Mus musculus: one gene and its partners. The main gene of each other region encodes a partner of the protein of the gene in region 5 in a complex. Links are inferred from orthologs where the notes say so. Each region holds a gene or a part of one and is shown on either strand. Other genes may lie near its edges.

Region 1 (4,175 bases), on a different chromosome or scaffold from region 5:
GCTAGGTTACCTTTTATCTATTTTTTGGTTTTTGGTTGGTTGGTTTTCTTAAGGGTCTTATGCAGCCCAGTCTGCCCTTGAACTCATTATACAATGGAGGGCAGCCATGAACAAGTACTGAAATTACAAGTATGTGCCACTGTGGTGCTTAGCATTTTGTCTAAGATCCATCCTACAAGGGCCAGGTATGCTTGACTCACTATAAAAGGGGCTGCTCGCCCCTCTGACCCTCTGCCCTCTTGCCTTCTTGCTCTCCCTCTGTCCTCTGATCTACCTCTTCTCGTTCTCCTTGCCCCCCGCCCCCACCTTCTCCATGTGCTCATGGCTGCCCTCTCTACTACTCTTCTCCTCCTCCTCTCTCTCCCCCTCCCTCTCCCTCTCTCTGTCTCTACTACCCTCTCAACTCCCCTCCCCATGCCCTGAATAAACTCTATTCTATACTATACTGGCTTGTCCCCCAGGGTGAAGGGATGCCTCAACCTGGGTCCACGGAGGCACCCCCTTCCCCACACCTGACGACACCTCCACCAAACATCCCTTATCGTTTTATAAACACAATAGTGTTTGCCTTTCATTTTTTTACCTGCTCTATCTTTTTACCTCTTGAATTATTATGACTATATGTGTAAATTTTGTATATATGTAACTAGACACCACAAAACATCACTCTGAAGGATTTTTTTTCTTCTGTACATTTGCAGAAATCATTACCTACAGGGAACTTCAATCTGATCCAGCAACACAGAGGACTAGGCCAAAAACAAGATGTATAGACTAAACTGGCAAACAAATTAGTATTAAATTTATTTCAAGGCATTTTGGGTCCTGAGTATATATTTTGAAAATGTTGCATAAGAAATAATGTGAGAGCTGGGCATGGTGGCACGCCTTAATCCCAGCACTCGGGAGGCAGAGGCAGGCAGATTTCTGAGTTTGAGGCCAGCCTGGATTTCAAAGTGAGTTCCAGGACAGCCAGGGCTATACAGAGAAACCCTGTCTCAAAAAAACCAAAAAAGAAAAAAGAAAAGAAAAGAAAAAAAAAAAAAAGAAGAAGAAGAAGAAATAATGTGAGATTAAAACAATTGAGTTTCCAATTCACAGATGAAAATAAAGTAATAGTAACTTGCCCAAAAATCCTAAGGTTAAATAGTAAGACCTTAAACTATATTTATAAAATCCAAAGAAAGATTAATATTTCTCTGTGTGACTCACTAGATTTTTTTTTTTTTTTTAGGCAAGCAATGTAGCAGTATTAACTTGTATACACAGAAATCTAGTTTCTTTCCATAATGTTGGTTTGGTAAGGCACTGGGAAATCCACATGTTATTATAAATAAAATAACCCCACCACAAAGCTTAACAACATTTCAGTTATCTTACTTTTCACCTCAATTTTATTACAAATCTTGTTTTACCAGCTTTGACATATTTCATGTGACAAGACAGAAAACAACGCATCAGCCACTTAATTATCGTTGCCGAACAAAAAATAAAACTAGCTTCAATTATAAAACTGCAAATAGCATGTATTGGTTAAAATAAAGATCTTACACGTCAGACTCAAGAACACAAACTAGAAAAAAAGAACACAAACTAGAAATATTCTCCGCATCAAACAAATTATTATCAAAGAAAGGATAGTCCTGTTGAGAGGGGGAACTAACTTTCTGACCTCTTTTCAAAATGACAAACTAGAACAGCAAAATCACACTCAGGCACATGGAGTACTGTTCTCTCAAATCACTCCACAGAGAACTTCATCATTTGCTCCGCCCTCTAATAACTCATGCAAAAAAAGTTCAGCACCATCGGAGAGAAACAAGACATAGCGCATTCACAGAATGGCTTAAAGTCTTTCCTCCCGGCGGGTAAGAGAACCTGCGTTTGCCCTTCGTCGGGGTCCGAAGGGAAAGAGAAACCTAGGCCTAAGGTTTCACGGATACTGACACCTAGAAACAGATTTCTCTGCAAGAAGTTTCTGCCGCCATCCCCATTTTATCAGCAAAGACTCGGGCGCCATCGTCTCGATGTTTGGTTTTATTATGAGGAGGTGGGAAAGGCCACCCAGGATTACTTTAGGCCTCACACACACACTAAGCTCAGGGTTCCCCCCCCCCCTATTCCTATGTGAAACCCTCGGTCCCTAAGGTGCCCCTCCGCACCCCTTGTTCCCGGCGGCAAGTCCCCCGGGATGTGTGAAGGCGCAGCAGAACCCACCCGCCTCACCGTTAAAGCGAGACGGCCCTCACACGGCAGGGCCACCGCCAAGGCTCCGGGGGGGCCCAGCGAGGGGAAGGGTAGGCCGGGGCCGAGGGACAGGGACGATGACCTGGCCGGGAAGAGAGGATGGCATGGGGGGAACGGACTGCACCGCCTGGTCCGCGGGCAGCACGATACCGAGAGGAGGTGATGAGGGAGGAAGAGGGCGGTGGCCCGGGTGCGGCCCCCTACTCCTCCGGCCCGCAGGTCCCGGGCCCCTGGCACCGCGGGCTCGGCCCATCCCCTGTACTGGACCGGCTGGGGGCGTGGGGGGCCTGTCTGGGAATAAGGGGAGACCGAATCCAGGGACTGAGGGGCACGCGCGGGGTGGGGGCGGGGGAAACCTGCCTCCCGCCTGAACCGCAGACCCCGGCCGCCGCCGCCGTCGTCGCCTGTGCCTCAGGAGAGGGCAGGAGCTGAGGGGAGAGCCCGAGTGAGGAATGCACCAAGGTGAGGCGAAGCCCGGGACAGCCCCGACAGCCTCCCCGTAGCCGACTCTTCACCTTCCCGTAACCGCGTCTCTTACCGGTGATGGCGGTGAACTGCTGGATTAACCCCTTCAGCGCCGACGACGCCGCGGAGCCCCCGTGGGCAGCCATCTTACCGCCGCCGCCGCCGCCGCGGAACAACAACACAGACACACACGGGGCTCCCTCCCCCACTCCGCGGCGTGCTGTGCGCAGGCGCACTGGCAGGCCCGAAGCTCCGCCCTCTCCCTGTCTGTGCGCGTTTTGCGCAGGCGTACTCTCCGCGAGCCGCCGCTTTGGTTTGAAGCCTGTGCTGCTGGCTGGTAGCTATTCTTTGAAACATTTGGTGCCTTCTCTGAATTCCGGAGATATCCTCCTAAGTACCGCATTGAATCCCAACATCCCAAAGAATCTTCAGACCTGAAATACCAAACTCTTGATGAAACGCTCAGGGTTTCACATAAAGTAGGTATTTTGTTTGGTTTTATGTGACGTTTCTTAAATTCTAAAGTGTAAGTTAATAGCTTAGTAAAAAATGAACCAGTCTATAGTAGACTTTAGTAAATGATTGTTCGCTCTGTTTTTCTTCAACAAATGTCTCAGTATATCTCCCCCCAGGCTCATTCTTACTTTCTAAAGATATTAAATCGGGAGGTTTTTTGGGGGGGGAGTTGTTTTTTATCCTTAAACAAAGATATATGCAGATACAGTAAATAAAATAAAGAGAACACTGGAAAGTGGTCCTGAAAACACCGATAATAGTTACAACTAAAAAAGAACTTGATGAGCCGGGCAGTGGTGGCACATTCCTTTAATCCCAGCACTTGGGAGACTGAGGCAGGCGGATTTCTGAGTTTGAGGCCAGCTTGGTCTACAGAATGACAAGGACAGCCAGGGCTACACAGAAAAACTCTGTCTCGAAAAAAAAACATGATGAAAGGGGCATTAGGAGGGCTGATGAGATGACTCGGCAGTTGAGAGCACTGACTGCTCTTCCCAAGGTCCTCAGTTCAAATCCCAGCAACTACATGGTGGCTCACAACCATCCGTAATGAGGTCTGATGCCCTTTTCTAGAATGTCTGAAGACAGCTACAGTGTACTTACATTTAAATAAATAAATCTTTAAAAAAACAAAAGAAAGAAAAAAGAAAGGGGCATTTAGCTTAGTTTTCATACTTTATTTTTAAATAAGGTAATAGTGTGTAACTTGCACAATTCTAAATACTTATTGCATTGCTGGTGTGTCAACTTGACACAAGCTAGAGTCGTGAGAGAAAAAGGAGCCTCAGGGGAGGAAAAGCCTCCATGAGATCCAGCTGTATTTTCTCAGTGAGTGACCAGTGAAAGTGGGCCCGCCTATGGGCGGTGCCATGCCTGGACTGGTGGTCCCTGCTTTTATAAGCAAGCAGGCTAGCACACCATGGGAAGCAAACCAGTTAACAGCACCC
Region 2 (4,290 bases), on a different chromosome or scaffold from region 5:
AACCACATGAGCTGAGAACCTGATATATGTGCACTGTACATGTTTTAAGTAAATATGAATTACTTGGATTTTTAAAATTATAATTTCAAAAGTTGAGTAACATTTTCCCATATTAATGAAAAACATGGAATATATTATATTTACTTAATAATTAAGCCTATTTATATATTATAACATATAGCACATATTATCTGAAGGAGTCACATAGTTGTTTTTGTCATTAGACAAAAGTAGTCCTTCCAGCAGACAGAATTTCAGGACTACAGATGCAGCTTCAAAAGGAGCCAGTTTTTCATAGGTTGCATCTGTGCCCATAAAAGGGTATGGGTGCCACTTGAGGGGAGAATTAACATCGTATAAAAGACAGACAAGACAGGCATTCATTTCCAACTTTAAAAACAAACAACAAGGGGGCTGGAGAGATGGCTCAGCGGTTACGAGCACCGACTGCTCTTCCAGAGGTTCTGAGTTCAATTCCCAGCAACCACGTGGTGGCTCACAACCATCCGTAATGGTGTGTCTGAAGAGAGCACTGGTGTACTCATATACATAAAATTTTTAAAAATCTTTAAAACAAACAAACACAAACAACAACAACGCTCAGGAAATCGCTACTTATGTAAAATAAAAATATATAGGAAAATACACAAGTAAGGTCCACCACCTCCATTCTATCATGCAAGCTTTAAATACCCTGCTGAGAAACTCCCAAAGGGTCTCGTGTTTAGCAGCCTTGAAAACTGTCTCAGAAGACAAGCTTGTCATCACTGGCCCCTGGCACCTCGCAGTGCAACAGTAAGGACTGTGAGAACAGCCAGCAAACCTGGCCTAGCAAGGTCAGAGACAGTGGGAGGAGGGCTGTGGAAACGTCTCCCTGGGTTCTAATCAAGAGAATGTTTCCCCCACATCACATTGCCTAAAATACCGCAGCGACCGCATCCAGCTCCCCCAGAGGGTAACTGCTACCAAGACAGACCTATTACGATACTCACCTCAAAATACTTCTTCTCAATTTCTGGATTTTTCCCCATTGTACGTTGTTCGTAACAACATATAATACAAGTTTCAGATCCACTGAGATCTTTTAATGTTTTCAGCAGTGGTTCCAAGGACTATTTAAAAAAAAAATACCATTTTCAGTTTATTACGTCAAGAGTTTCCTGTGATAGGAAAGGGTCAGGAGGTGAGTCAAACCATTCTAAACCAACAAAACAAAGCAAGGTTATCAAACAAGACTGGTAAACAACCCCTGACTACCAATAATTATACTGGTTTCTAGTTAAGTTGTACCATCACATCTTGCTAGACTTAAGTCTTACAAGTCTAATTTCACTTCATCTAAGTTAATGTGGTATTTAAACAATCAACTATTTATTCTACCAAAGCAAGCCTGACCCTAATGGTTTAAATTTAATTTTTGTTATTTTAATTATATGCACGTATTTGCCTGTGTCTAAGTATGTGCTAGTGCCTGCAGGGCCAGAAGAATTGATCTTCCTGGAGCTGGAGTTACAGGTGGCTGTGAACTGCCTGATGTGGGTACTGGGAACTGAACTTGGATCCTCTGGAAGAACTGTGTGTGCTCTTAACTGCTGACCCTTTTGATCATCAGTTGGCTCAAGGCATCAACTTAAAACTAAATACTGTCCAATACTGCATAAACTGATATGGGAAGAAAATCATTCCACAAGTCTAATAAAATGTTGTCACTGAGAATAACTAATTTTGGAGCGTCTCACTCTGTGCTGGCCTAGCATTCATGGCAATTGTGAGTGCTAGGATTCTAGGAGTGAGCCAACCTGCATTTTAATTAATTTCCAAAGTCACAGTTAGCAGTCAATGGGAAAAGAAAAACAAATGAACAAACAGACAAACAAACAGAAGGTATCTTAGTTTTCTAGAATATATGCAAATCGGAAAATCCTTTTAAATTTTTCCAAAAAGTCTCCAGTAGAATGCACGCAAGTTTTCTCAACCACCTCGCACAGGCAGGCCTGTATGCCTATCCTGAATTGTGCGAATGTGTTGCCTTTGATAGTTTAACTTCTCTTTACTGCCTCATCATCTATAGAACAAATATCCCACACCTGGAGGTGTTAAACCACGGAGAGCTGTGGGCTTTCGGACACACCAGTTCGACCACTACTCACCTCCTCATAGTATATACAGTCTGCCATCAATATGTAGTCTGGTGACATCAAGTCTTCTATGTCTTCACCCCTTAAAAATGTCAAACGTATGTCTTTAACTGATGCTCTGACGATTTAAAGTGTTCATTTTAGAAACGAGAAGCAGAAGGCTCCCCTCATATTAAGCAAGCGTTGTGTAAAATGCAATTTAAAGCCCATGTAAGCGATCGATTATCTTAAAAACAAGCTGAAAGGCCATACAAACCATTTCAGTACCTTGGCTTGAACAGAACCAGTCACAAGATGCTTGTTCATATCAATATTCATTTTCAGCAAGTCCTGCAGCTCTTCAAGATCAGTGACTATAACATCTGCCCTAAAAAAACAACCTCGTTGAGGTACAGGCGCAAGGCTGCACGCCGGTGACCTGATGCTGGGCGACCAGCGCCTTCCCGCCAGCTCTTACCCGAGGGTCGCAGCCATGAGCCCCACGGCCCCCGTGCCGGAGCCCAGCTCCAGCACCGAGCGCCGACTCAGCGCGTGGGCCCCGTCGCCAGAAAACCCCGGCGTCTCCAGGTATTTGGAAAGGACGATGGCGGCGTCCCACACAACGCAACCCACGCCCCCGGAGCCGTACTGCTGCAGCCGAAGCACTGTCCCATCCCGCTTCTCCAGAACCCGCACAAAGCTCCACAGCGGGTCCTCCACCTCCGGCTCCACGGCGGCCGCCATCCCTGCCCCGGCCCGCCGCAGGCTGCGGCACGCGGTAACGTCACGCCCACGCAGCACCCGTACCTCCCAGCGGCAGGGCGGCTGCCCAAGGCGCATGCGTGACTCTCAAAGTCCGCAGGAAGCAGCAGAACCTACCCAGGAGTGGCCCAGCTGCTGCTACAATGATAGGCACTTTAAGAAGCAAAGCGACCGACAGTGCTTATACATAGCTGGAGAACGGCTCACACAGAGCCGCTGGCGATAGATCTAGGCAGCTACCCAGGTCCTATCTAAAAATGGTTATATTCAAGAAGTTTTCCTACTGTGCTTCCTTTTCATATGAATGCATAAACGTGGTGGCTGGGAACGTGCTACTTGCTTTTAATGGTAAAGAAAAGTTAGTCCTTTTACATCCCACGGGGCCAAAAGATGGCCAGCAAGACCAAGGACTCACATAGTAGAAGGAGAGACCTGCAGGTTGGCCTGTCACATTGGATCTCTAGTATGAACACACACACACACACACACACACACACACACACACACACACGTAATAAACAGATGATAGCTATTCGTTCTTCTAGATTTTTTTCAGCTTTGTTGTTTTTTGTTTTTTTGTTTTCAGGATGGCCTCCTGTATCCCAAGTAGGTTCAAACTCTTCATACTCTTCACGTAGTCGAGTCGCCTTTAAGTCCAGATGCTTCCGTCTAACCTCCCAAGTTCTGCGATTACAGGTGCTCACCACTATTCCCAGCTTCTCCTTGCTCTTTGTGATGAAAAACAATATTGCAAATCTTTTACAAATTAAGACTGAGGTGATTTATTAATCTTGTTAAGAACTCTGATACAAAGCACAGTAAAAGGCCACAGACCAGTAGATAAACAACGTGGCTTTTGGCTACTTTACAATGGCTGCTACTGCACTATCAGCATAACATACATACCTTGATCACTTTGAATGATAGTATCCAAATGGCAAAGCTTTATCCTGATTAAAAAATTTAATAAAGCTTTTTAAAGTATTTTCTGTTTAAATATTACTAATCTGGAAAAACTTTTCAAAAATTTCAGTTAACACGAGATTAAAGACAGTTAATAGGTTTGACAATGGCAGTTGGTTCTTATGCCATAAGACACTTTTGTTCCAGACTTACAAATTAGTCAAATAGCAGATTGTATTATAGGCCTCAAGTCACTTACATTTATAGAGGTTATTAGCATTATCTTTAAATATATACAATATAAATAAACTGTACATATATGGCATATTAATTTTGTCTTCCCAAATAATAGGCAAATCATTAGCTAAACAATGATTAGCTAAACACCATACACTGCAAAACAAAAGGCACATCTTAATGAACACATGCCCTTCTTCTATAATCAGGTTATGTAGAACTGTTTATAATTTTAACAAAATAATAAACACAGTGCATTCTATTATTTCAT
Region 3 (4,372 bases), on a different chromosome or scaffold from region 5:
GTGTGGCTTTGCTGGAAGTTTGTCACTGGGGGGTGGGTGTCTGTCACATCAGGATATGTGGCATTTAGCTACTCCAGTTGAGCACCATACCTGCCTGCCTGCTGCCAAGCTCTCTGCCATAACAAACTAAACCTCTGAAACTAAGCTATCCCCAATTAAATACTTTCTTTTGTAAGAACTGCCTTGACCATGGTGTCTCTTCACTGTAATAGAATAGTAGAATAGTGACTAAGACACTAGGGTTGATGGGCATGTGTCCAGTAGCTGGAACACGGGTCACTCACCGACAGGATGGCCTGCTTGATGTGGGCATCCCGCTGGTCCCTCCTCAGGGTGACACCTGTGAGCGGACAGATGAAGAACACACCAGGCACTGCCAAATGGGGAGAGATTTCCTCCTTGGGCTCAGGTACCTGAAGACAGAAGACAGGAGGCTCTTATAGCTGGACATATAGGCCCACGCTGTCACTCCTCCTTTCCAAGGGTCTGTCTCCTCCCCACTGCCACAGGTACTGCTCATATGCATGAAGCTCTCCCTCCCCAGGCTTCAGCTGCCTCCATACTGCCCGAGAACACTGGGCAGTCCCCAGCAGATAACCTTACCGAGTTGGTCCCAGGAGCTCCTGGATTGTTGCTGGAGGTGGCTTCGGCCTGAAGTTCCTTCCTCACTGAGAGTAGGAAGGGGTGATATGGACAGAGTAAGGACCCATCCTGAACCCAGAGGCTGAGCCTCTGGGTGCAAAGGTGGGAGTTGGGGGGTGGGGAGGGGGCTGGTCTGAGAGCTAGCAACTCTCCCTCCCAATGTCCAGGAGGTAGAATCTAGTCCCTGCTTCTCCAAGTCTCCATCCAAGCAAGAACTAATGGTGTCTCTGCCACATGGGACTCAGAGCTACCCTCTGGGGACCCTTTCCCATTGGATTCAGTCTGCCCCAGATGCCACCTAGAGCAGAACTCACCCTGGTTCCGGATGGAGTCCTGAGATGTAGGGCCCCGGGCTCGGGGCTGTTTCTGTTCCAGCCGGGCCAGGGCAGCAGCGGCAGCCATCTGTGCCTCATCAGTGGGGCCCTGACGGGGCTGCCGGAGGGCCAGCTGTGGTGACTTTCCTTTGGTGGTCTTCTCCCTGAACAGACATAGGGACCCAATTTTGCAAAACGGTGTATAGAGGAATTTTAATCAAGCAACATGTGGGAGGAATGCAGACATGCAACAAATCTTTAATCTCTCTTGCTGGAATGCAGACAGGTCCATAGTATGTATCTTTAATCCCTAACAATGTAGGTAAGGTTAGTTTGTAGAAGGAAGAAGTCATGTTTGAAAGTGGCATCTAATTGAGTGGCAGACAGTGACGAATCAGAAAAATTTGACAGAATGAGTCAGGGATAGATTACACCCAACTCTGAGAACAGTCAGGAAAGAGAGGACTCAAAAGGCAGCACAGAGAGAGAGAGTTGAAAGCAGTTCAGCCTGCCAGTGCAGTTCAGAGGCAGGTTGCAGCGAGAGAATGAGAAGGAACCAGAAGATTAGAAGAGACTGCCAGACTTAGTTTGAGTCCAAGCAGAGCACTTCAGTGAGAAATTGAGAGAAGCCAAATTGAATTAGTCAGCTTGGTTAATTAGATTGTACAGATGCTAGAAGCTTCCTGGGATAGTTGTTAGAACATGGATAATGCTCTGAGCTCAGCCCAAGCAGTGTGTTGTGTTCACAGAGCATGGTTGCAGCTCTCATCACTTCATCTGAGGAAATAAAAGTGACATTTACTTTTATAGATCACACACAGATCACGGACACTGGACCATCCCCTCCAACTTCTGGCCTGAGGATCCTTTGAACCTCCATGTTCCTCTCATCATTGAAACTGCCCCACTATTTGTAGCTGTACCCTGGTGTGTTTACCTCCCTTCTAGCCCTGGCTTGCAGGCCCCTCCTTCTCCTCACATTCAGCCCCAGTCGCTGGTTGTCATTTTCCTCCACATATACTTCCTGCAGACTACTCCCTGGTAGCCTGTAGCTGTCTCCAATCTCTACTTCACCCCTTCTGAGCAGCTCCAACATGCCTTACCTCCCTCTCCAGAACACAAAGTTCTCCGGAAAGAACTCCAGGAAAGTACTCCTGGAAGACCCGGAGTTGCCAAGGCCCCCACAGAGATCCCATCTTCACCTGTCACCCCAACCACTCAACAACATTCTGGGTCTGGGCCTCTCTGGTTTCCACACTCCTCCAAGATCCTTCTATAATCCTCTCTCACTCCCCAACCCCTCCCAGATTACCACACAACCTACAAAGAAGTCTTAACATCTCTCACAGACCTTCTTCCCACACCTTCTCTTAGGTCCTTCCTACCCACATTTCGCCAAGGCCACACCTTTAGGCGGCTCTTCTCTTAGCTAAATTCTGGGCATTGCCCCGTCCCTTCTCACCACCCAGAACCAAGAGTCTCTAAGCAGTGACCAACGCGCCCTGGCCACGACCGCCCACGCCTACCCTTAGCGCCCCGCCCACCCGTGCTACACCACACAACTGCCCTCCCTTCTGCCCCGCCCACCACTGCTACAACGCCCCGCCCTCATTGTAGGCTCCGCCCCTGCCTTACAATCTTCCACACCCCACCCACCAATCTACTCCTGCTAAGCATAGCCTAGAAAGACCCTGACACCCAACCGCCGGCCCTTTTTGCCCCCTGGCCCTCGCCCTCTCCGTCGCCCAACCAGCGTCACATACCCTGCGGAATCCGTAAGCTTCTGGCCGGGCCCCGCGCTCTTGAACTTGATGTCAGCCTTGATTTCCTGGAAGAACTTCTTCATGGCGGCAGCGGCCCGGCGGCTTGGGCCGCAGGGCGGAGGGCGCAGGGCCCGGGTGGATGAGGAGCAGGCGGCCAACCACCGGAAAGAAAATATCGCGGCGACGGAAGTCCCGCCTGGTTCACGTGACAATCGCCTTGCAGCACCTCGCGCGGGCGGGGCGCCATCTTCCTGTCTGCGGACGCCGTTGCCGGGGCGACAGGCTCGCCTCCCTTAAGACCGCAGCAGCCACCAGGGGAGCTTAAAGAGAGCATCCAAACAGCGAGCAGCCTAGAAGAGTACCCAGAGCTACTGGAACCAGGGTGGATGTCAGGAGTTCAAGGCCAGTCCATACTACAGAGAAAATGAGTATGAATGTACTGTGCATGAGCCTGAAATCTGCTCTGGGAGAGACAAGCTAGAAGGAGCCGACAGAGAGATTGGTACAGGCAAGGTCAAAGCAGAGACCGCAGTTGGTACAGGGCTTGCTCAACATGTGCAAAGCTGAGTTTAATCTCCTCCAACACTTCCATCTCGTGTGGTGTGTACACACAACAAAAAGTTGGATGCTCTGGACTCAGGCTTTTTAGAACACTACTGTTCATGTGAAAAACAGCCATCATCTAGATCAGAATCACTGTGACTGTGCAAGAGACCCCCAAAATCATATACTTCACTGTTAATGGTCACTCATTAGAAAGAAGGGGGGAAGTGGGTCATTGGACACAAACTTGAGATTCCAGGAGCTCTTCTGCACCCCCTGTCTGTGTGCATGTAATTCTACCCTAATGCGCATGGCATTGTGGTCTTTGGATCATGTAACTGAAGTGCCTATGGGCAAGCTTTCGTCTGTGTTGGTGTGAAATTTGTCAGAGATAAAGCAGCTTTGTGGGCTACCCAGGCTGTTAATAATTTTATTAGTTTTGCCAACCATTAGATCCAAAAATGCACAAAGCTGAAGGATGGGACACCCTGGTGATTTCAAGGAAACAAGCCCCATGGCTGGAGGAGAGCAATGGAGGCATTTGATGAGAACTGTGGAAGACAGGTTTCCAAGAGCTACAGTGAAGAGAGGAGTGGAGCACCTTAAAGAAGGCAGCCAGGATGTGGGCTGGAGAGATGGCTCAGCGGATAAGATCTTCTAGAGGTCCTGAGTTCAATTCCCAGCAACCACATGATGACTCCCAATCATCTATAATGGGATGCAGTGCCCTCTTCTGGTTTGTCTGAAGGGAGCAACAGTGTACTCACATACAAATAATTTTTTTTAAGATTTGTTTATTTATTTATTTATTTATTTATTTATTTATTTATTTATTATATGTATGTACACTGTAGCTGTCTTCAGACACTCCAGAAGAGGGCATCAGATTTTTGTTAGGGATGATTGTGAGCCACCATGTGGTTGCTGGGATTTGAACTCAGGACCTTTGGAAGAGCAGTCAGTGCTCTTAACCGTTGAGCCATCTCACCAGCCCCAACAAACCTTTTTGTTGTTGTTGTTGTTGTTTTGAGAGACAGGGTTTCTCTGGATAGCCCTGGCTGTCCTGGAACTCATTTTGTAGACCAGGCTGGCCTCGAACTCAGAAATCCA
Region 4 (3,636 bases), on a different chromosome or scaffold from region 5:
CCTTTCCAGAGCATGGACACCATGTTGAAATACAAATGCCAGTCATCTCCGTGGTGCAGGGGAGAGAGCAGTAAACGCTGCCAGTCTTTCTGCTGGTAACACTTTTCCACGCTGATGCAGGAATGGTACAGGGGCTTCCAAGGATTCAGGAAGAACCAGACGTTGACAGCCAAGGTTGCGAGGGTAACAGGCGGAATGTTGTTGATCCCAATTTGGAACACTTGAGAGAGGAGCAGGAGGAGGCCGGTGTTGATCCCTCTCGTTCTCCTCTGCATGACTGCAGGATATCAGGAGCGTGGATAAGGATCTGTGCTAGAGGATTAGGAACCCAGGGAGGTACACGGAGAACTGCACCTGAAACACACAGGGCATGCAAAACTCATCACCTGAGAACAGCCCGACTGCTCAGACCCGCGCTAGAAGATGGGCACAGGCTGGCGTGGCCTCGCATGCCTGAGTCCAACAGGGATATTACTAACTTCTCTTTCCATTTCACATTCTAAAATAGAAATTTTATCCCAGATTCAAGTGAACTTAAGGACAGGTATGCTTTCCTTGACCATAATAGTCATGAACTTGTAATGCGTCTTTCTCAGTAAAAGAAACTAATTTAAAAAAGGGGGGGGGGGTCAGCCTGGTAAGCTAAGGACCCACAAAGGTGGGGGGACCCAACTCCACAAAGTTGTCGTCTGACCTTTACAGATGCACCGTGACATGCATATCCACAATCTACACATTATACATACACAGTAACAACAATAGTAATAATAATGGGAAAAAACAAGACAAGGGAGAAGGCTCAGGGTGTAAAGCTTGCTGTGTAAACATGAAAAGCTAAATCCAATTATCCAAAATATATACAGAGCGGGCATGGCTGCCTGCATCTGTGAACCAGGGCTCCCGTGATGAGGGCAGGGACAGAGACAGCAGAGTCCCAACTAGCCTGCTGTAGACAGCAGGAAAAACAGTGAGAGACCCTGCCTCAACCAAAGGGACCAACATCTGAGGTTGCCCTCTGACCGTTAATTTACATGCATGGCATGGCACACGTGTGCTAGCACTCACAGATGCTGTCATACACACTCATCATATGCATGTACACATATCATACAACCCTAAACACACATCGTATACACATAAAAAGGATGAAAATGATAAGTCGGACTCTGATAGTAAATTTACAAGGAGAGTAGACAAATATTTTTTTATCAAATCCCTGCCAAGTCTCCTTATCTCTTCTAATATTTTCAGCAGAAACTCTCAAAATGCCAAAAACTAGGTTTTAAGATTTCTGAGCATGTTATGGTCTAATCCAATCTTCATACTAACAGGTGTCCATGCCCCCAAATTCTTAGTCATGGCTTATAAAAACTTACGTATGTGCCAAATCCTACATTGAAAAAAAATGTAGTCCTTGTTTTTTATGCTCACTTGTCACCAGGAAGTAAAACACCCACTGGCTCAGGGTGTTGTAAGCACAGAGAAGGAACGCAAGAGCAGGGATACACAACTGTGCAGAAGGTGGTGACGGGACTACTGTCTGACAGAGTTCATTTGAGTTAGTGACAAGGAAGAGCTCCATGAGGCAGTGGTCCTCCTCTCCACCCTCTCCACTGGGGCTGGCATTGTGACACGCTTGGGATGACAGAGCAGAGGGCAGATAATACAAAAAGCCTAAACCTAGCCCCAAGATGCACTGCAGGCTTCCAGTATGGGCTCGAGTCTGGGCTAGTTTGCACAGGCTCTGGTCCTCTCATGATCCCTGGTCCCAGCCACCGTCAGCTAATCCTCAGACTCAACGAAGTCTAAGGTGACACAGATGTAAACAGGAGTCCCATGGGCCCTTCCTAATTTGAACCAAAGTGAGGGTGGTTCTGGAGTGGTTTGGTAGGCAGCAATTACTAATATAGGGGTTGATTTTGGACAGGGATTGGTTCCTGTTCACAAGAAGCAGGTAGTGAGGAGTTGGGGTGGGGGAGATAGGGACAGTCTAACAGGGCCATAAAAAGGATCAAGTGTTTGAATAAAAGAACCAGAAGGTGGGGGGGGGGGGGGAGTAAGGTACAGATACTGGAAAAGTAGACAAGGGATTTGAAAGATGTTCCAGAAAGTGCTCATTTACTAACATGTATTTTCCTGTGGCAATTTCTCAGCTCCCAACTCCAGGTAGCAGTAACTGAGCATACTAGACAATGCAAAAGCTTTATAGAAAATGATGGAATTATATTTTAATTACAAAACTTAAAAATTTAAAGAACATTAATTTTACAAAGTGTCTTCTTAGGAGTGCTATGAATAGCCCATCACTTAATGCTGCTGGTTCTCAGGATCCTCATACTAAATTGGAATAACTAGTGATATCCCAGGCTTGCTAGAAGTCCTAGGGGCAAAGGAAATGATGGTAAAGTGCTAGTATTCTCATTTCACTATCAGCTATGTTGAAATCAAACCTGCAAAAGACAATTCTCACAAAGCTCAAATATACTCTGGACCCCCAAAATGCACTTCTTCCTGTTTTTTATTCTTTTATATATTAAATAATGGATTTTAGTCATTTTTACCAGCTTACTCCTTCCTCTCCCACTGGCACCTTCCACACAAGTGCCCTTCACTTGTACTTTCATGTTTTCTTCTTGTGAATTTAGAGCTGGGGCGTGGGACAAAGCTATTGAATGGATCAAGGGCCACTTTGTGGCTACACCACTTTAGAAAGAGATACCCCTCCCCCCAATAAGCTTTGACTGCTGATAATCCTTTGCAGAGGGGTGTGGCCTCGTTGGTCCCTCTTTCACCCATGAGGAATGGTTGATCAGTCCAATCAAGCCTTGTGTATATAACCAAGGCTGTAGTGAGTTCATGAGGGCATTGGCTCTCACATCCAGAAGGCATCCTTTCTCTGCACATCTCCCTCCCCACCCTCAGCTTTTACCTTCTTTGCTCTTCCCTTTTCTGAGGCGTTCCCTGAGCCTCTGATGGTGTTGCAGTGGTTTGAGTGGCTCCCATAGGCTCACGTTTGAATACTTAGTCCCAACGTGGTAGAACTGTTTGGTTAGGGTTGGGAGGTGTGGCCTTGCTGGAGGTGTGTCACAGAGGGCTAGCTTTTAGGCTTCAAAGGAATCAAGCCATTTTCAGTATGCTCTCTGCCTTGCTTTTGTGAGCTCTCATCTGTTCCTCCCACACTGGCTTCATTCTGTCATCATGGACTCTAACCCACTGCAACCGTAGACCCAATTTAATGTTTTCTTATGTCAGTTGCCCCAGTCACGGTGTTCTATCACAGCAACAGAGACATAACTAATGCAGGTATTACAGTTGTCCAAGTTGGGGCAGAACATTACCCCGTCACTTACGCTCAGCCCTTTGGACAGTAACTGATTTCTCCATTAACCAATGCCTGCTACAATACACAGCTTGTTTGAAGAAAGTGTGTTGGCTATTTTCATGTCAACTTGCCATAAGGTATAGTCATTTGAGAGAAAAGAGCCGCAAATAAAAAAATGTCTCCATGAGACCTAGCTGTACCCAAGCCTTTAGGACATCTTCCTAATTAGTGATTGATGGCAGAGAACCCAGCTCATTGGGTGTGTCACCCCTACACTGGTGATCCTGGGTTCTATAAGAAAGGAGCTGAGCAAG
Region 5 (3,636 bases):
TAAAGGCATATGCCACCATGCCCATCTAAAAGGTTTATTTTTATCTGAGACTAGTTGGGGAATATGGGCTGAGCTATCATTGTCTTTAGAATGATACTCAGGTATTAGGGTTCCATTGGGCCTTTTACCAAATCATTTTTGTCATATCCGCAGTTGGAACTGTGCTGTCAAAAGCATGTGGAGTCTCTTGTCTTCTCTTTGGTCTGGCCTGGTAGTTCTTACATGATAATGGGGGTTTGGGGTGGGGGGAGGCTATTAAAGACAGAAATTACTGCATTCTTATTCAGGACCTGTATTTGGGCTAGGGGAAAAAATATAAGTTTCTTTAGGGATTGGGGGAGGACAGATTTTTGTCATTGTTTTAAAAAAATAACTTCTATTTATTGTGTGCTTGAGTTGGAGAGATGACTCAGCGTTTAAGAGCACTGACTGCTCTTCCAGAGATCCTGAGTTCAAGTCCCAGCAACCACATGGTGGCTCATAACCATCAGTAATATGATCCGACGCCCTCTTCCCGTGTGTCTGAAGACAGCTACAGAGTACTCATAAATAAAATAAATCTTTAAAAAAATTTGTATTGTGTACTCATGCACATGTGAAAGTCAGAGGACAACTTGGAGGAATTAGTTCCTTGTTTCTTCTATGTTGGGTCCAGGATTAAACGTAGGTCATCAGGCTTGGAAACAAGTACCTTGACCTGATTAAGCCATCTTACTCCCCCTCATTGTCTATTCTGTATCTCTTCAGGTCCTGAAATCATGAGCAAATTGGCTGGTGAGTCTGAGAGCAACCTTCGTAAAGCCTTTGAGGAAGCTGAAAAGAATGCTCCTGCTATCATCTTCATCGATGAGCTTGATGCCATTGCACCCAAAAGAGAGAAAGTACGAACTTACCCAAGGGCATGGTGAGGACTTGAAAGGTCCTGACCTAGCTTCTGACCAGACATACTGTCTTCACAGACTCATGGGGAAGTGGAGCGTCGCATCGTGTCTCAGTTGTTGACCCTCATGGATGGCCTAAAGCAGAGAGCACATGTGATAGTTATGGCAGCAACCAATAGACCCAACAGCATTGACCCAGCCCTACGGCGATTTGGTAAATACCTTAAAATCTTTCCAACTTTTTTTTTTTTTTTGGTTTTTCAAGACAGGGTTTCTCTGTGTAGCCCTGGCTGTCCTGAAACTATAAACACCAGGCTGACCTCAACATCAAGAGATTCACCTGCCTCTACCTCCTGAGTGCTTGGGAATAAAGGTGTATACCACCACTGTGCAACCCAACCTGTTCTTTCTTGTTGGTACATTATAGTTCTGCTGGGCTTGATTTGCTTATCTCACCTCTGTCTTTCATCTAGGTTACTTAATCTTCACTTCTCTGCCATGATAGGACCTAAGGTCTTTTTTTTTCTCCATTCTATGTTCCCTATAGGGCACTCCCTCAACTTTCCTAGTGCTATAACCCTTTAATATAGTTCCTCATTTTGTTTTGTTATTACTACCTCACAGCTGTAATTTTACTACCATTATGATTCGTGATGTAAAATATCTGTCATGTGGGGTATTTGATATATGACCCCCTTTGAAATGGTTGTTCCACCCCAAAGGGTTTGAGATCCAGAGAAGTAACCACATATATTGTTTTGCCCAAGCCTGAAAGATTTCCAGGTTGTGAGGCATTAATGCTTACTCTTAAGAGAGTTCTGGAATGACTTTTGTGGACCAGAAACTATCCCTATTTTACATTCCCGTATTGTCCTATAGGTCGCTTTGACAGAGAGGTAGATATTGGAATACCTGATGCTACAGGACGTTTGGAGATTCTTCAGATCCATACCAAGAACATGAAACTGGCAGATGATGTGGACTTGGAACAGGTAGAGTGGTGATAATGGCTGACCAGAATTTAGGATAGCTCTGTTTTAGGAGGTTGCAAATTACAAACATAGCCTAAGAAAGAGGCTTCATACCAGAAATACAAACTTGGGGAGCGTGGGCAGAAGAGCCTGAGTTTAAGGCCTGCTGGGCTACACAGCAAGATCCAATCTTTTCATTTTTTTTTTTAGAGCTGGATGGAGATTGCTTTGATTTCAGGGCAGGAATATGTTTCTTAGTTGTTGCTGTGTTAGAGTAAGTATGAGTTGTTGGAGCAGCTTTATTTCCAGCTCCCTAATCCGGCTTGAATATTTAACACCTCTGACAGTAAAAAGGTCTGCTATAGTATATCTCTTCAAGACAATAGGAATCTGAGATATGTACGAAGCATGGGATGGAGTCAGGACTCTGGATAAGGCAGCTGGATCTTGAGGATGGTCAATCTATCTTCTCTTTGCAGGTAGCCAATGAGACTCATGGTCATGTTGGTGCTGATTTGGCAGCCCTATGTTCAGAGGCTGCTCTGCAGGCCATCCGGAAAAAAATGGACCTCATTGACCTAGAAGATGAGACCATTGATGCTGAGGTCATGAATTCCCTGGCAGTTACTATGGATGACTTCCGGGTAAGGACCATGTATATTATCCCAAATTAGGAATATGTATGTGTATTTTGTTGTGTTCTTCACTCCCCCAAGTCTCATCCCCACTTTTCAAATTCCCTTTTTAGTGGGCTTTGAGTCAAAGCAACCCATCAGCACTTCGGGAAACTGTGGTAGAGGTGCCACAAGTAACCTGGGAAGATATTGGAGGCCTGGAGGATGTCAAACGTGAGCTTCAGGAGTTGGTTCAGGTAGGCTAATTTGTTCTAGTATGGTGGGCCATTGCCTCAGCATGTAATAATCAACCTTTTAGGTCTCAGACTTATTTACTAAGAACTGTGTGTATATCTCTGTTAGGTAGTGAGGAGCTGTCTTACTTAGGTTATTACTTCTGCAATGAAACACCATGGCGAAAAAGCATGTTAGAGAAGAAAGGGTTCCACATTGCTGTTTGTCATAGGAGGAAATTGGAACAGGAACTCAAAACAGGGCAGGAGCTGATGCAAAGGCCATGGAGGGGTGCTATTAAGAACCCAGAACCAACAGCCCATCCACAATGGGTGGGGCCTTCCCCCGATCAAAAGCTAATTAAGAAAATGCCTTATAGCCAGATTTTATGGAAGTATTTTCTCAAGATTTCCTTTTTTCAGATAACTCAAGTTGTGTGTCAAGTTGATATAAGACTAGCTAGCATGGGGGGGAAAAAAGCCGGGTGTGGTGGCGCAGGCCTTTAATCCCAGCACTTGGGAGGCAGAGGCAGGCGAATTTCTGAGTTTGAGGTCAGCCTGGTCTACAAAGTGAGTTCCAGGACAGCCAGGGCTATAAAAAACAAAAAAAGAAAGACTAGCTAGCATGGAAGCCTATATGTAAAAATTTTGGATGTTAGAAGACATACCATAAAAATGCTATGCTTCTGATTAATGCGATTTTATTTAAAATATGAGGGTTGCTCTTAAATCATTTTTGCTTTTCTTGTAGTATCCTGTGGAACATCCAGACAAATTCCTCAAATTTGGCATGACTCCCTCCAAAGGCGTTCTTTTCTATGGACCTCCTGGCTGTGGGAAAACCTTACTGGCTAAAGCCATTGCTAATGAATGCCAGGCCAACTTCATCTCCATCAAGGGTCCTGAGCTGCTTACCATGTGGTTTGGGGAATCTGAG
Region 6 (3,636 bases), on a different chromosome or scaffold from region 5:
GTCTACACAGGGCTAAGCTCTGAGGCTTTCATTTCTGTCCACGGAGAGTGGGCTTGGCAGCTCTGTATCTGCCGTCTTCCATTCTAGCAGCCCCGCATCGTTAGCAGCCCTCTTCTGTTTGTTGTGCTCTTGCAGTTCTTGGGGGCTTTGTGCCAAGAGTGTATTTTCCCTTCCTTGTGCCAACTCTTGCTCATTTTGACAGTCTTCCCCTGATTGATCCAGCCGTGCTTTTCGTGCTTGGCACATGATAGTATGCCACAAGACACATAGCTTTTAAGTCAAAGGTCAGCATTATTCTGTTTTCCACTGTCTAGGGGCCATCACTTTATTGTTTAATAATGTTTTGAGATAGAAGCCAGTGAGTGGTAAGGGTGAAAGGGGAGAAAGCAGAGACTTTTTTGTTTGATTGTTTTTTTGTTTTTTGATAGACTTGTGTGTTTGGCGAGGTCAAGAGGTTCAATTTTCAAATGTTACTTGCTTTGGTGGTTGATTATGACAGGAAAAAGAGAAAACTGCAGAAAGCCATGAAAGATAGGCAAGAGTATGCTAGTGTCACAGGGATAAGAAAAGAGAGATGTTGGATCTGATTTTCTTTAGAATAGTATCAAGACTAGCCAGGAAAAGGATTTGGAAAGAAAGGAGAGGACGATCATTACATTTTCTTAGATACGAAAATATATTTATTAAACCAGGAATTAAAATAACTTAGTATAGGCATTCATTGTAAATTATCTAATCTAAAAGTAGGCTTTAAAACTGAACATGTTTCTATCCATGAAAAAAAATCTTAGCGACTTTGCAAGCATGATAGTGATGGGTGCATTTCCTATGTTAAACTTTTGTGTTGAATACACAGCAAAAGTTCTATAAAATCAGTGTATTTTGGAATAAATATACTATAAAGTAGATATTGCTGTATAAAATACAGCAAAAGTACTCTAAAAGCATGAGTCTAATGACAGAACAGAAAGTAACAAGAAAATTTCCATAATACACACAGAGATGCAGATCTATCAGGGTAGTGGATGTGCCTTTAAAATGTGTCTTTAAAATGAAGAAAGATGCTCAGCTTTCTCAAAGCAAACAAAGATTAGTTTTCAGGTTAGTGGCTGTAAATATCCTTTGTGGAGAATATGTGTAGAAAGATAGCAATCGTCTACATTTTAGGAGGAAGTATAAATTAATTAAACATTTCTGTAGACATTTGGCAATATCTACCAAAATAAGTGCATATGTCTGTTGATCTAACAGATTGATTCCCAGGCATTTATTCCATGTGTGTGTGTCTGTGTGCATGTGTGTGTGTGTGTACAGAATATACAAGAATATTCATCATGGCATCATAACAATTTAAATGAAGTTTGTCTACCCACATATCCACATAAAGAAAGTCTGTGAAGCAAATAGAAGTATTTTGTCAAGGGAATGAAGACATAAAACTGCGATTTAAAGCATGGTGAGGAGGGAGGAAATGGCAGAGCGTTCACAGAAACGGGCTGTGCGTGCTCGCACGCCTTTGAATTCTAGCACTGAGGAGGCTGAGGCCAGCAGGCCGACTGAATGTTCCAGGAAAGCCTGGCCTTTGACGCTCTAAAAACTAAGGCAAGGCGTGGTGTCGTGTACCTTAAATTCCAGCATTTGGGAAACAGAGCCAGGGAGATTTCTGAGTTCAGGGCCAGCCTGGTCTACATACTTCAGGACAGCCAGGCCTATGTAGAGTGATCTTTCTTGAAAAAACAAAAACACCCAAAAGCTTGGCCATTTGGAGCAGGCAACTCTTGTAATCCCAGCAAGTCTTGATCCTGAGGCAGGAGGATTGAAAATGTAAGAACAATCTGTGCTGCATAAGTTTAAGGCCTCCTGTGCAATGCAGTGAGTCCCTCCTCTCTCAAAATGTGAAAAGAGAGTTTGGACCAATCTCAGTGGTAGAGTGCCTAGTCCACCTGGGTTCAGTTCACAGGGTTGCCCCCAAAGGAAAGCAGTTAGTTGTTGTTGAAAATAACATTTGGAGATTGGAGTTAGGACTTCCCCTCTTCATGTTTGTGTGTGTGTGTTGCGTTGTTTCCTTTTGAGCCCATATGCCTAGTTAGCACTTTGTTTTGATTCCTGTTAGCCTCTAGCATTTGAGAATGCTACTTTTAATGAGGATTATCTTTTAGCCCCGTCTTAGGCAAGGCCATATATTTGCATAGTATTGTTTTTGCTAACTTGTTTAAAAATATTAACAGATGATTTTGATGCCCCATTATCTCATTGGCCTGTGAACTAATGATGTGTAGGCAGCGGGAACTACGCTGTCTCCTCATACTGTGATGTCACTTTAGCTCGCCTTGAAAGAATGCTTTGCATAGTGTGATTTTGTTTGGTTTAAATAAGAAAAGTGTTCATCCCAGGTCAGAGGAACTGACAGCTGTTTGTTTTGATCTCTTCAGATATGGAGGCCGTTCACTGCCACCTTTTACTTCCCCGTGGGCCCAGGGACTGGATTTCTGTATTTGGTCAATTTATATTTCTTATATCAGTATTCTACTCGGCTTGAAGCAGGTAAGTTACCTGTCATTGTCAAAGTGTTGTTTCATTCTAAGTTACTGATTCATTCTAAATATGTTGCCTTGGATTTTCAGGACCATTAATATTATATAAAGAAATGTGTATTGATAGTTCTTGCATGCTCACTGGGTCATGACTGTATTAGGCTAGTAGAGTATTTTTGTTTTGTGTTTTTGTGTTTGTTTTTTTTTTTTTGGAGACAAAGTCTCATCTATCCCTGGCTATAACCAGTTGACCTCCAACTCAGAGATCCACCTGCCTCTACTTCCTGAGTCCTGGGATTAAAGGTATGCACTACCATGCCCAGCCATATTGAGTTTTTAATCACAGAATGAGTTGTAATTTGTTATAAAAAGAAATAATATCAGATCAAAATTTTGCATGTCCTTCCATCTCCTGATTGTCTGGGTTGTGTTCTTATACTTACTCTTGTCTTTGTCCTGCTAGAATGAAGCCAGGCTAGAATGTACGTGTCTTTCAGACAGAGTGCGAGGCAGTTCAGAGCTTAGTCTCCTTCTCAGGGGCTGGAGAGGATGGTACAGTGAAGAAAATGCATTTGTGAGGACCGGTCCAGAACCCTTCAGCCACGCAGATAAGCTGGGTGTGGCACTTGTGCGCCTGCAGTCCAGTGCCTGGAGACCAAGACCCCTGAGGATCCTGGGGGGCTCTCTCTACCTAGAGGAGTCAGCTGTTGGGGTCCATTTTCAGTCAGAGGCCTTGCTCAAAAAATAAGGTGATGAACAATAGAGGAAGATTCTGATGGTGACCTCTGACCTTCACACATGCAGCATGGGCACCTGCACATGCACACATGCATATACTACACATGTAGTATACATATGCTACGTGTTTACATGTAGACAACAGCTTTAAGGCAGGATTTGTACTGCGGTAGTTTTTCCAAATATACCATCTTGTATGATATAATAGAGAAGCAATCCAGTGCTTTACAAGTGTCTTGTTGAATTAAGTATTTCCACAATACCTTATATGCTAGCTTGAGTTGCTTATACAAGGAAGCAGTAAATTGATACCCTAGTCAAAATACAGATCCACTTTTGTTAAATGTAAGTGATTTGCAAAGTT
Region 7 (4,091 bases), about 37 Mb from region 5:
AGTAGAAAAGGAACACTAAGAACGTGGTCCAAGCATTATTTCCCGAGACTTGAACAAGTTCTTCAGAAGGAGTTGGCACCAGTCACAGATTATGACATGGGCCCACTCATGATTATTAAATCTTTATTTTTATTTTTTATTATTTTCTTCATTTACATTTCAAATGTTATCCCAAAAGTCCCCTATACGCCCCCCACCCCCGCCCTGCTCCCCTACCCACTCACTCCCACTTCTTGGCCCTGGCATTCCTCTGTACTGGGGCATATAAAGTTTGCTAGACCAAGGGGCCTCTCTTCCCAATGATGGCCAAGTAGGCCATCTTCTGCTACATATGCAGCTAGAGATACTCTTTAAAGTGTAGATTATTAGACACAGAGACTGAGCACTCCTGAGATTATATTATTTGAAATTAAATAAAGAAGATTAATTCAAGTACCAGATAAAAGTATAATGACAAAACCAGCGCTTCCTAAGTAAGAGACATTCTTGCTCCAATTCTTCCCAAGTCAAGGACTGATATTCTTTCCAGTCTGGAAGGTAACCTGAATCTAAGTCACTGTGAAGGGCAGAAACACAGCAAGAGAGAACTAGAAGGCTCAGCCTTATGCTACATTGTAGAAAACACAGTAAAGTTAACTGTACAGACTAGCCACACCTGGGAATCTGGGAAATACATAATGCTCAAGTCCCACTCTGTACCTATTAGATATGGGTATGAGCGCTAGTGTCTGCTTTATCAAGCCTTTCCAGGGACATTATTTCACTGAGAACCAGTGATCTAGATAGCCTCAGACAAGTTTACTCCTCCCCAAATGCTAATCTGGATGGAAACACGGAATTAAGAGCAGCAATCCTGTTGATATTATTCTGGAGGAACATTGGGAAATATGCAATTAAATACCTTAAACAACTTTAAACCCTATGACGAATTGCCTGGAGGACACTACACAACAGCCTTAGAAACAGTCCAGAAGTCACAACAGAGAGACACTTCAGGAGATAACTATATAGCCCTCTTCCTAAAACCCTCCTTCCTGATGTAGAGGCTGACAGACTATTCTGAATGGCAGCTGAGATAGATTTCTGTTCAGCTGGTCATTAATTCACTGGTTTTTATCTCCTACCTGATGCTGATCTCTGCATTCTCCAAGTTCATCTTCTGAACTGCCTTTGTTTTGTTTTGTTTTGTTTTGTTTTGTTTTTTGCTTTGTTTTATTTTGTTTTTTTGTTTTTTGTTTTTTGTTTTTTTTTTGGCATTCAGTGATGCTTCAAACTATGCTTAGTTCTCCAAACAGTTATGAAGGTGTCCAAAAGGTTATATGTGGTTAAAATAGAGACTGTTCAGGACAATTAAACCTAGATTATTCATAAAACAAAATAGAATTCCTGAATGAGGCAGCTTCTAGACCCAGAGCATGTTGGGAAAACTCCAAGTGACAATAAGATGTGACTTTATGAAAACTAGCAAGCCAGACACAGAAAATACACTGCCTCACTAGTGTGCTGTTTAGTTTTATGTCAACTTGACAAAGCCAGAGATATCAGGGAAAGGGGGGCTCGATGAAAAAAAAATGCCTTCATAAGGCTGTAGGCAAGTCTTTGGAGCATTTTCTTAATTAGTGATGGATGGTGGAGGGCCACACACACTATGGGTGGTGCCAAACCGGGGCTGTGAGCCCAGGGTCCTATAAGAAAGCAGGCTGAAGAAACCTTGGGGAGCAAACCAGTACGTAGCACCCTTCATAGCCTCTGCATCGGCTCCTGCCTCCATGTTCCTGCTCTGACGTCCTGTCTGATAAGGAACTGTGAGTGGAAGCATGAGTCTTTCCTCCCCAAGCTGCTTTGGTCATGGTGTTTCATCACAGTGACAATTACTCTAAGATAACGAGCTAACTGGCTCCGGGGTCACCGGAACCAACCAGTGCTCAATTAATACCATTAGAATTCTGCATTGGCTTGGTCTGTAAAGCTGCTTTACAAGCCTGTTTCAAATCTGAGACCTTTCACAAAATTTGATAGCACACAACAGTATCCACTACTACTTCTGGATTTGATGTCCTATTTGTATCCACATTTCCCAGAGCTTCAGCACAAAGTTAGAATGGCAAACGGTCAGTACGTCTGGTTACAGAATGAAGACCTGCTATAAAAATGCTCTGTCAAGGTTTGCGAATCCAGGCTCATTTATTCTGAACTATAACCCCTAATATATGTTTAATCGTTTGAGTTTTATCAATGATTTCATGAGGAGATAGAAAAAAAAGGCTAAAATGGACAAGCAGTATTAGCATCGGACAAGTGTTTAGCTAATGCCAGCATCCTAACATTGCTGAGTTTTATTTCTGTTAAGCTGTTTTGTGAACTCTTTCAAGCGAGCTGTGACCAAAGCCTGAACTGTTTTAAGCTCTCCCCTGCAAAACCGCAGGCTTTTGGAGAAGAAAGTGCTTTTAATGTATAAATCATCAAACGTGAAAAAGCATCCAGGAGAACAAACCAGCACGCGTCATTTTTAAAGTTACTTTTTTAGTGATGGCTGATTTATCACTGGCCACAGCAACTCCCCAAATGCAGGCAGCATCAGCTGGGAGGCACCCAGATGGCTCGGCAAAATGACATTTGCTTTGTGCATCCAGCGTGAAGGGAACCCCTGTACCGCCGCCTGAGGCTAGGGCACAGGATTCCACACGCACCCCTCCGCAATGCGCCTCCAGGAGAGACCCTCCAGTTCTCCGGAGACAGGCTCAGGTGAGGTACAAAGTGGCTCTGGCCCGCGCCCGCCATGCCCACGCCCTCTCGCCCGCCGCCGCCGCGCTCCATGCCTGCGCACCTGTAAGTCCCGCGCACTTGGGGGCCGTGGCCTGGAGGACCCACGCTCCTGCTCCTCCGGCTCCGCACGGCCACCCTCCGCCATCTTTCACCCGCTTGCGGCGCCTGCCCCGGACCGCGACTTCCGGGGTTGGTTGCTTAGCGACTGTGGAAGGGGCGGAGCCACTCCGTGACTCCCACTGCCTTGGAGAGGGGGCGGAGCCGTGCCGGGTTCGTGGTGTTCCTCCGGGCTCCTTTTCCCCCCACCAGCCGGTGCGCACTCGCTGTAGGGTTCCGGTCCGCAGGGCTCGCCAGTTTTTCAGTTTTTGAGATCTCTCTATAGTCACCATTCGACTCGCTGGGAGATGCTGTAGGTTGCCTTTAGAGCGCAGCGTTGTCTTCCAAGTTCATTTAACTCAACAATGCAATATCTTAGCAGATGAACAACTCCACCTTTCATTTCCCCTTATCTGTCATTTTCCCTTATCCAGGATTGGATGGTAAATTAGTCCTTCTGAGTGGATCCGTATTGAGGATAGGAAACACGGTAAAGCTTTTGGCAATGAGAATGGAGACTCTTAAGCCATCTTCTTTTCTGCTGGGATTGACTTAACTCTCATCTTAAGTCCCAGACACTTACACCTCCAAGAATTGCCTCCCAAGAAAAAAAAAAGAAGCCTTTATGAAATTTATAAGCTAGGAAGGGAAAGAAAGATATAAGCAGGTAACAGAGTACACTTTACTTTGCAAAGAGTATTTATTACTCGCGGACTGTATGTGAATGGAGAATACTCTCTTGGTGCCTGTTGTGTGTACCATGCTAGGTGGGAGCCTACAGCCTGCTGCCTTGGCTGTTCTTTGAGTTTCGAGCACTTAAAAAAAATAAACAAAAACAAAAACTTATGAGGTAGAGAAGATGAAACTGAGAGGTCTGCAACAGACCTTTTAGAATTAAATCCACATCTTAGCTACTTTTCTTGGTTGCCCCTGGTATGTAGATACAGCCACACAGGCTTTCAGGTTTCCCACGAAGACGCTAATCACATGATTGTTTTAAAAAAAATAAAATGTGTGTCCTTTTCTCCTGAAAATTTATTTAGTTCAGTTTTATTTTCAGCTTGAGACTCAGAAGGCAAAGGATAATGGTCCCTCTCCCCAGTTCAGTTAACTCAACAGTGCTCCACTCATATTGCTGAGTATGTAATGATGTACTTGAGCGAGGCAAATGATAATTAAACTAGAAACTAGCAGTACAAGTTACCAAACCTTGCATTGCTGTCTTGATA

What was found.
Region 1: the proteins of Vcp (region 5) and Ubxn7 are in contact, whole or in part, in a crystal structure (PDB 5X4L), measured with the Homo sapiens proteins. The link is inferred for Mus musculus from reciprocal best matches to the Homo sapiens genes VCP and UBXN7. Residues at the interface, in NP_009057.1 of Homo sapiens: Val38, Leu51, Phe52, Arg53, Gly54, Asp55, Ile70, Leu72, Pro106, Val108, Tyr110, Leu140, Glu141, Ala142, Tyr143, Pro178; in NP_056377.1 of Homo sapiens: Arg418, Tyr419, Pro420, Asp421, Gly422, Arg424, Leu455, Asn457, Phe458, Arg460, Lys462, Gln480, Glu481, Thr482, Phe484, Val485, Gln486, Asn489.
Region 2: the proteins of Vcp (region 5) and Vcpkmt are in contact, whole or in part, in a crystal structure (PDB 7OAT), measured with the Homo sapiens proteins. The link is inferred for Mus musculus from reciprocal best matches to the Homo sapiens genes VCP and VCPKMT. Residues at the interface, in NP_009057.1 of Homo sapiens: Arg239, Gly280, Glu283, Ser284, Arg287, Lys312, Arg313, Glu314, Lys315, Thr316, His317, Gly318, Glu319, Val320, Glu321, Arg322, Arg323, Ser326, Gln327, Leu329, Thr330, Asp333, Pro355, Ala356, Arg359, Phe360, Arg362; in NP_078834.2 of Homo sapiens: Arg14, Ser15, Phe16, Val17, Arg18, Gln32, Tyr33, Ser34, Ser35, Gly36, Gly37, Val38, Val41, Trp43, Asp44, Ile47, Val48, Leu97, Asp144, Tyr147, Tyr148, Glu174, Arg176, Thr177, Met178, Gly179, Lys180, Asn181, Glu209, Tyr210.
Region 3: the proteins of Vcp (region 5) and Ubxn6 are in contact, whole or in part, in a cryo-EM structure (PDB 8FCO), measured with the Homo sapiens proteins. The link is inferred for Mus musculus from reciprocal best matches to the Homo sapiens genes VCP and UBXN6. Residues at the interface, in NP_009057.1 of Homo sapiens: Pro23, Arg25, Ile27, Gln43, Asp47, Gln50, Leu51, Phe52, Arg53, Gly54, Asp55, Leu58, Lys60, Gly61, Lys62, Arg64, Leu72, Glu80, Lys81, Gly97, Val99, Ile100, Ser101, Gln103, Pro104, Cys105, Pro106, Asp107, Val108, Lys109; in NP_079517.1 of Homo sapiens: Pro279, Ser280, Pro281, Ala283, Ser284, Phe286, Glu287, Leu288, Phe292, Phe293, Asn294, Leu295, Glu299, Ile300, Arg302, Glu303, Gln304, Leu306, Arg307, Ser308, Val311, Leu314, Ser315, Val316, Leu317, Arg318, Thr319, Lys320, Ala321, Met322.
Region 4: the proteins of Vcp (region 5) and Rhbdd1 are in contact, whole or in part, in a crystal structure (PDB 5EPP), measured with the Homo sapiens proteins. The link is inferred for Mus musculus from reciprocal best matches to the Homo sapiens genes VCP and RHBDD1. Residues at the interface, in NP_009057.1 of Homo sapiens: Asn33, Asp35, Val38, Phe52, Arg53, Gly54, Asp55, Thr56, Ile70, Leu72, Tyr110, Pro137, Tyr138, Phe139, Leu140, Glu141, Ala142, Tyr143, Arg144, Pro145, Ile175; in NP_001161080.1 of Homo sapiens: Ser300, Glu303, Met304, Arg305, Gln307, Arg308, Leu309, Arg311, Phe312, Asp313.
Region 6: the proteins of Vcp (region 5) and Derl1 are in contact, whole or in part, in a cryo-EM structure (PDB 7Y59), measured with the Homo sapiens proteins. The link is inferred for Mus musculus from reciprocal best matches to the Homo sapiens genes VCP and DERL1. Residues at the interface, in NP_009057.1 of Homo sapiens: Arg113, Ile114, His115, Phe131, Leu135, Lys136, Phe139, Leu140, Val166, Glu167, Thr168, Asp169, Val176, Ala177, Pro178, Asp179, Thr180, Val181, Ile182, His183, Cys184, Glu185; in NP_077271.1 of Homo sapiens: His240, Trp242, Gly243, Gln244, Gly245, Phe246, Arg247, Leu248, Gly249, Asp250.
Region 7: the proteins of Vcp (region 5) and Ubxn2b are in contact, whole or in part, in a cryo-EM structure (PDB 8B5R), measured with the Homo sapiens proteins. The link is inferred for Mus musculus from reciprocal best matches to the Homo sapiens genes VCP and UBXN2B. Residues at the interface, in NP_009057.1 of Homo sapiens: Arg113, His115, Glu132, Leu140, Ile182, His183, Cys184, Glu185, Glu187; in NP_001071087.1 of Homo sapiens: Phe215, Ser216, Gly217, Glu218, Gln220, Leu222, Gly223, Leu225.

The regions. Positions count from the first base shown.
Region 1 is NC_000082.6:32,330,971-32,335,145, reverse strand, and holds the start of Ubxn7 (UBX domain-containing protein 7), read right to left. Parts: upstream 2,895-4,175; 5' UTR 2,859-2,894; coding exon 2,786-2,858; intron 1-2,785. UniProt on the Homo sapiens protein: Ubiquitin-binding adapter that links a subset of NEDD8-associated cullin ring ligases (CRLs) to the segregase VCP/p97, to regulate turnover of their ubiquitination substrates.
Region 2 is NC_000078.6:69,580,126-69,584,415, forward strand, and holds the start of Vcpkmt (protein-lysine methyltransferase METTL21D), read right to left. Parts: upstream 2,893-4,290; 5' UTR 2,862-2,892; coding exon 2,596-2,861; intron 2,506-2,595; coding exon 2,395-2,505; intron 2,221-2,394; coding exon 2,151-2,220; intron 1,113-2,150; coding exon 993-1,112; intron 1-992. UniProt on the Homo sapiens protein: Protein N-lysine methyltransferase that specifically trimethylates 'Lys-315' of VCP/p97; this modification may decrease VCP ATPase activity.
Region 3 is NC_000083.6:56,072,117-56,076,488, forward strand, and holds the start of Ubxn6 (UBX domain-containing protein 6), read right to left. Parts: upstream 2,911-4,372; 5' UTR 2,803-2,910; coding exon 2,720-2,802; intron 2,451-2,719; exon of another isoform or gene 2,308-2,450; intron 1,121-2,307; coding exon 957-1,120; intron 669-956; coding exon 604-668; intron 414-603; coding exon 285-413; intron 1-284. UniProt on the Homo sapiens protein: May negatively regulate the ATPase activity of VCP, an ATP-driven segregase that associates with different cofactors to control a wide variety of cellular processes.
Region 4 is NC_000067.6:82,337,037-82,340,672, reverse strand, and holds part of Rhbdd1 (rhomboid-related protein 4), read right to left. Parts: intron 1,628-3,636; exon of another isoform or gene 1,377-1,627; intron 355-1,376; 5' UTR 276-354; coding exon 1-275. UniProt on the Homo sapiens protein: Intramembrane-cleaving serine protease that cleaves single transmembrane or multi-pass membrane proteins in the hydrophobic plane of the membrane, luminal loops and juxtamembrane regions.
Region 5 is NC_000070.6:42,983,391-42,987,026, reverse strand, and holds part of Vcp (transitional endoplasmic reticulum ATPase), read left to right. Parts: intron 1-747; coding exon 748-881; intron 882-959; coding exon 960-1,095; intron 1,096-1,760; coding exon 1,761-1,873; intron 1,874-2,331; coding exon 2,332-2,496; intron 2,497-2,600; coding exon 2,601-2,723; intron 2,724-3,450; coding exon 3,451-3,636. UniProt on the Homo sapiens protein: Necessary for the fragmentation of Golgi stacks during mitosis and for their reassembly after mitosis. Involved in the formation of the transitional endoplasmic reticulum (tER).
Region 6 is NC_000081.6:57,882,343-57,885,978, reverse strand, and holds part of Derl1 (derlin-1), read left to right. Parts: intron 1-2,432; coding exon 2,433-2,544; intron 2,545-3,636. UniProt on the Homo sapiens protein: Functional component of endoplasmic reticulum-associated degradation (ERAD) for misfolded lumenal proteins. Forms homotetramers which encircle a large channel traversing the endoplasmic reticulum (ER) membrane.
Region 7 is NC_000070.6:6,189,950-6,194,040, reverse strand, and holds the start of Ubxn2b (UBX domain-containing protein 2B), read right to left. Parts: upstream 2,937-4,091; 5' UTR 2,912-2,936; coding exon 2,828-2,911; intron 1-2,827. UniProt on the Homo sapiens protein: Adapter protein required for Golgi and endoplasmic reticulum biogenesis. Involved in Golgi and endoplasmic reticulum maintenance during interphase and in their reassembly at the end of mitosis.